2 linked regions of the Mus musculus genome follow. The protein of the gene in region 2 interacts with the protein of the main gene of each other region in a biochemical or structural test. Links are inferred from orthologs where the notes say so. Each region holds a gene or a part of one and is shown on either strand. Other genes may lie near its edges.

Evidence for each region. The genes of interacting proteins can lie anywhere in the genome.
Region 1: the proteins of Nedd4l (region 2) and Ube2e1 form a complex in vitro, tested with the Homo sapiens proteins (2 studies listed by BioGRID). The link is inferred for Mus musculus from reciprocal best matches to the Homo sapiens genes NEDD4L and UBE2E1.

The regions. Positions count from the first base shown.
Region 1 is NC_000080.6:18,284,441-18,287,160, forward strand, and holds part of Ube2e1 (ubiquitin-conjugating enzyme E2 E1), read right to left. Parts: intron 829-2,720; coding exon 696-828; intron 1-695. UniProt on the Homo sapiens protein: Accepts ubiquitin from the E1 complex and catalyzes its covalent attachment to other proteins. Catalyzes the covalent attachment of ISG15 to other proteins. Mediates the selective degradation of short-lived and abnormal proteins.
Region 2 is NC_000084.6:65,160,199-65,164,110, forward strand, and holds part of Nedd4l (E3 ubiquitin-protein ligase NEDD4-like), read left to right. Parts: intron 1-1,316; coding exon 1,317-1,452; intron 1,453-2,796; coding exon 2,797-2,973; intron 2,974-3,912. UniProt on the Homo sapiens protein: E3 ubiquitin-protein ligase that mediates the polyubiquitination of lysine and cysteine residues on target proteins and is thereby implicated in the regulation of various signaling pathways including autophagy, innate immunity or DNA repair.

The sequences.
Region 1 (2,720 bases), on a different chromosome or scaffold from region 2:
CAAGCAGCATTCATGTAGGAGGCATTATGACATTTCAGGTAGACGCTGTTGAAGTGAGGCCACACTCAATTCTCCATCTCATTTTACAGCAGTACCCACTGCCAGATACTTCTTTACATTTTTTCTTTTCTTTTTTTTTTTTTTGTTGGTTTTTTTTTTTTTTCATTTTTTCTTTTCTTGATCAGGCTAGTCTGGTACCATATATCCCAAAGTAGCTGCAAATTTTTGATCCCTCTGCCTGCTTCTGTTTCCAGATATGTGCTACTAGTAACATCTGGCTTAATTTTAATGTTCTAAATATGACTATGTCTTAAGTTTGGATTGTTAGTTGTTTGCTGACCTCTTGTGTTAGCTGGAAGTAATACACTGCTTCGGAGTGTGCGTAAAATCTAACAAGCTAGACAATAACTAGCACAGTTTTAAGCATTTACATCTAGAAATGCCTATTGCCTACTGAGGAGCCAACCCAACCAACAGTCATCACATTCACTTAAAACTGGCAAACAATACACAGAAGGAAGCTGAGCTCTTCTGCCACACAGATCTAGACTGTACCGCAGTACACACAGCTGTTACTAACATGCTTTAACAGGACAGCAGCACACAAATGGAAGACTCTAGCTTTTGTGATTACAATGAAAACTTGATCTCTCTCAAGGAACAGTTAATGTCAGGAGACACTGGAGACTCCTTACCTTTGGAGGCTTGAAAGGATACTCTGGTGTAAAAGTAATGTCAAGGAAGAATACTCCACCTTCATACACAGACCCTGGAGGACCCAGAATGGTTGATCTCCACTCATAGATGTTGTCACCCTTGGGACCAGCACTGTGAAATAATACAGGAGCAGATAAAGACATGGTGACATTGCATCAGAAAAGGGAAAAAAACCCTCCCCTTATCCTTTTGGTTTAATGTCTGGGTTCTCTTCATAAAGAATATGGTAGTGAGCCAGGACAGAAGAACACCAGACCCATTCTAAACACTCTAGCTGCAGCTAGACATGAACTTTCTTCAACTCTCAAGCGTAAGGTAAACATCAATTAAAGATTCGTTTCTTAGAATATAAGCCGCTGACTATTATGATTCAAAGAAACTCAGGGCAAATCTCAGTACCTGTGGCTTCTCCAAACACTTCTCACCCAGGCCAGGGTGAGACCTGGGGACAGGGCTTCTGCTTCCCTTCCCCCACCTTCTCTTCATTGTACTGCTCAGCTATTTTGACTATGGCTCTCTTGGTCCACACCGCAATCTTGAGCTCTTGTTTCACTCTTGGTCAGCTTGCCCCACCCCCCTTTTCTTGTCCTCCCCATCCCCATGCCCAATAACTCCATTCAGTCTGTTAGCTTGGCTCAGTCTGGACTCTCCCAATGTCTCTGCCTGTTCTCCCCTTTATCTACAATAAAATCTAACCATACCTAGGAGTGATCATGTCCTCATTTTTCATTCAGTGACAAGTTTTCTCATTGCTGCATCATTTCTGGTAAATAACAAGAATTTTTGCCCTAACTAAAGTACTTGGCAGAGTTTTAAACTCCACACTGACATAAAGACATACAACATTTGACTTCCAGCCAGCCTACACACACACACACACACACACACACACACACACACACACACACACTTGCTTTAGCTAGAAGATCTTCTGGCCCTCTGAGACAGAGTAGCTCAAACTGTCTTCAAAGTCACTCAGCCCTCACAAATGCTGGGTCATGGGTAATTCCAAGTTGGTGCCTATACTTCCTACCTTATAAAAATTAGTGAGTGAGAGAGGCGAATGTCAATGATGTAATCAGTTTTCACTTCAGTGTTAAACTAAACACGAACTTTCATTAGCCATTAACCAAACCCCATTCTTGTTAAATACAATATACTTGGTTGTACCCTTACTCGGCTATACCATCCTTCTAAAATATTGCATTGGCTTCCAGAGTGCTCTGTATTCAAGTACCTTAGCAACAGCAGTAAAACTTGCACTCCGATTCTAAGACCTATAGAGTAGTAATACTCTTTGTAGTAGTAATTTCTTACTACTAAGGTAGGGTACAGGGAAAGACTAAAAAATGATTTATTTCTATTTGTGTATCCCCCCCGCCCCCACACTGCCTGCTCTTACAAGTCAGAGGGCATGAGATCCCTGGAGCTGGAGTGACATGTGGTTGTGTGCTGCTTGACACAGATACTGGAAACTGACTGGATCCTCTGGAAGAGAATCAGGTGCTCTTAACTGCTGAGTGATCTCTCCAGCCTCCAACAAGATCTTAACCAGCTCTCTCCTAGGAATATACTATGATCCCCCTAGTAAAAAGTTACCTTTGCTTCTTCGTTTACTGAGAACAGAATGGGTTCTCAATTATCAAAAGTTAGCCTGTTTGTGTCCCTTGCTTCCAGTGGGATGGTCACTAGGAGGTTGGGCCTTTGGGGACAGTCAGGTCAAGAAAGTAGAAGTCATTATGTATAAGCTTAGTGTCCTAAATAAGACCTCACCACCAGAACATTTGCTTCTTACCTGCCGAGGATTAGTGCAACAAGACAGCTGTCTGGAAACTAAGAAATGGTTCCTCACTGCACTAAAACTGCTAGCACTTAAGTCTTGGATATCTTGTCCCGAAGTGACAGAGGAGAGCTAAGGCCTTTAAAGTTCAATCAACACTATTCTACCAAACTGCCACAGAAAACTCTTCATTGTCAGGCTGGCAAGATGGTTTAGCAGGTAA
Region 2 (3,912 bases):
AGTTTGAAAGTACTGGAAACTTTAAATCCTTACTTTAGAAAGAATCTATAGCTAGGCTGTCTATTAATAGTATATCTATCAGTTCACCGGAACTAAATTTCTCAACCATTTTGGAACATTAACCAGCAACTGAATTTGCACTCATTAGATGTGGAGTCAGATCGAGACGCGTTTGCAAGCGCCTGGGAAGGACCTTTAGATGTGTACTCCAGACACGTAGCAGAAATTTCCCCCAAAAGACCGTCACCTGTCATGTACTGCAAAATAGTTTTAACATACAGTCAATTCAATCATCTTTAAGGATAAGTTCTTAACTCGGATTCTAACTTAAAATCTTTAGTCGACAATACAAATGAGATGTGACAGCTCCATGTTCTTATTACAGGCTTGTTTGGGAAGTCAGCCCCTGCTCTGTACTCGGTATTAGAAGCAGGGTGCTGGAAGGTGGTTGCAATCTTAAGATGTGAGGTTTTTGTTAAAAGGAGACAGAAAGCAGCTAAAAGTCAAGTCACACACCACAGGAGATGTCCCCTTGGGACCACAGCCCTTGAATTTGTGCCGTTAGTATCCTTCGGTCAATTACTGATGACCCAGATTAGCTGCTTGGTCCCTGCTAGGTAGGCCTAGAAGGGACCTGCCGACTGCCTGTGTGAGCTTGCTTGTCACTTCCTGCCAAAGGACTGGCTTGTCACAGACTGAAGGGCCTAGATTTCTCTTCTCAAATACTGAAGCTTCATCTCTGAACAGCCAACCCTGTCCCCACTGCCTCCACACCTGTGGGTTCAGCTGACCATAGAACATAACTATCGGAGACGTATTAGGCCTGTACTGACCCTGAGCAGTAGTCTGTCTTCGTCATTCCCTAGACAGTGCAGGATAAGTTGTTTGTGGAAGATTTCCTTTGTGTGAAGCATTGTAAGCCATCCAGCGGTGATTTAAAGTACACCAGAATTTGTGCTGTGTGTTCTGTTAAATCAGCCATTCTGTTATAGGGATCGAACATGTAGGATTTGAAGTCTGGGGGATAGGGAGGGCTCTGCAGCCAATCCCCCGTGGATGCAGGAGGATAGCTGTATATGTCTGAAAGATGCTCTAACTCTTGTACAATACACTGAAGCTGTTTTGGGGGGCTAGGGTGAGTGTCAGTGGGGTCTGTCCTGAAGATGGAGGAAGACTTCTAGTATTGGTTGCTTGTTCCTATCATTGTTTGACACAGATGTCTTAGTCGGTGCGTGGACCACAGTGAGGGTTGGACTGTCAGAGGCATGGCTCTGAATACCCCTTCTCTTCTTACATCCCCCCCGCCCTCCTTTCAGGGATGTGTCCTCGGAATCAGACAATAACATCAGGCAGATCAACCAGGAGGCTGCACACCGACGCTTCCGCTCTCGGAGGCACATTAGTGAAGATTTGGAGCCTGAGGCCTCTGAAGGCGGTGGAGAAGGCCCTGAGGTATGATGTCCAGAGATGCTGTCGAACTAAGTAGCTCCATCTTCCAACGTTCCCCAGGGTGATTTTGTACCTTATTTTTTTCCCCTCTCGGTTAACTGTGTATTGCATGTGACGATTGCAGCCTCATGACTAACTGATTTCCCACCTGAGTATTAGTGAACTTAGAAAACGCTTGTGAAACCAACGTTTGACCAAACCCAGTGACTCGTAGAAATATCAAGGGGAGAACATGATTCTGGTGTGAAGGTCTTATATGCCACCCCCCCCCTGGGCCCCCGGGGACCTAACCAATCTCATGACACAACACTAAAGTTGTCATTTTGAGGAATGGAGGGAGCTCAGTCACTTGTCTGGGTCTCATGGGCAAGTTTCTAATGAGTTGCTTGACATCTTGGGAGAGATTACCCAAAAAATGTACAATCTGAGTTGATTGGAATATTGATAACTCTTCTCTATAACCAGTTAGCAATGTGTTACTGGAAAAAAGAGATGAAGTAAGCAACAAGTCAGAAGTGATCTTAACTTGATGCTGATGACTGGTCCTTGGCTTGACCTCGTGTTAGAAAGGTCATTCACAAAAACCTTTCAGTGACCAGCATTAGAACAGCAAGCTAGTGGTTTCATAGTAGGGCCACTGAACGTTCTGCAGAACTAAGCCATTTTAAGAAAGAAAGAAAGAAAGAAAGAAAGAAAGAAAGAAAGAAAGAAAGAAAGAAAGAAAGAAAGGAAGGAAGGAAGGAAGGAAGGAAGGAAGAAAAAAGAAAGAGAGAAAGGAAAACTATATGAGAATTGCTTGTAAATTCTTGGGGTGTTTCTAATCCATTTGTAACACAGGCTGGCAAAAAGCTGCCACGGTGGGGTGGGCGTGTATGTTGACAGGAGTCCATGGCGGGGTGGGCGTGTATGTTGACAGGAGTCCACGCGATTGTGGCCACTGGACCTGCCTGCCCCCTCACACTATGTTCACATCTTTATGGACTGCTCACTTCAGAAATTTGCTCGCTCTGAAGTTTCCTGGCCTGTTCATTGGGGCAAAGGCCCTTGTCGTCCTTGTGCTGATCCTGAAGCGTTTGTGTCTCGTGCTAAGTAGGGGTTAATCAAGAGTCTTCTACTCCCAGTCAGTTCTGGCCCTCCGAAGAGTTTCCCTCTTTACCTGAGGCAATTCTATATGAAAATTGGCCCTGGCAGGTTGGGGAAAACAAAAAAGTTGTTCTTTTAGAAAGAAGGGGGCGTGTCACCAGCCTTTTCTTGTTTGATGGTTATGAATGTTGTGTGTTTTATTAGAAGGTAGACAGGTAATTTCCCAGATCCTAGCACTTATCCTAGTGTCTGATTCCTCCATAGCCTTGGGAGACCATTTCAGAGGAAATGAACATGGCAGGAGATTCTCTCAGCCTGGCTCTGCCCCCACCGCCTGCCTCCCCAGTGTCCCGGACCAGCCCCCAGGAGCTGTCGGAAGAAGTGAGCCGAAGGTTGCAGATCACTCCGGACTCCAACGGGGAACAGTTCAGTTCTCTGATTGTAAGTCATGGTATTGTTAGAAAAGCTGGACACCGGTGGTCAGTCCTTTGTTGTAGCTTCTGAGGATGTTCTTCTATGCAGATAATAACCAAGGCCATTGGTTCTTGACCTACAGGTCATGACCCATGTAGGGGTCAAACTACCCTTTCACAGGGGCCACATATCAGAAATCCCACCTATTGGATATTTACATTATGATTCATAACTGTAGCAAAATTATAGTTGTGTAGTAGCAACAAAATAATTTCATGTTGGGGTCACCACAGCATGAGGAACTGTGTTAAAGGGCATTGGGAAAGTTGAGCGCTACTGGCCAAGAGTGTTCTACTTCCAGTCAGTTCAGGCTCTCCAAGGAACTTCCGTCTTTACAAGAAGGAAATTTAGCCCTGGCAGGTTAAAAATATATATATATATATATTGCTCTTTTAGAAAGAAGTGGCATGTTACCAGCTTTTTCTTGTTTGTAAAAAATTCAAAGGAATAAGATTCTGTGGATTTTGTAAGTTCTAGCTTTAGCCTTGTAGGATCTTGTTCCTGTCCAAAGACTCATGAAAACAGTGTCTCTGCCATGAGGCCATTTCCTGGTGAGAATCCGGAGCCCCAGAGCCTCCCAACCAGTCTTGTAAACTCCCACTCTCCACACCTCTACCTTCCATCTCACAAACAAGGAGAACGGATATTTAAGTGATTGTCCCTGGCAAAGCCCTGGCAAAGCTTGACCATGAGATAGAAGAAACCCCAAAACCGAGCATATGAACTCTTAAGGAAAAAAAAAGTTTGAAACTGTGACCCAGACATCAAGATAACACTTGACCTGGGTTTCTCGGCCCTCAGAGAAATACTTCCTAGAGGGTTCAGCTCAGTGAGAAGGAACAAGGTCAATCACAAAGAACTTTGCACGTAACACTGCGCGGCACTGTGGGGGGAAGCCCGCCAGTC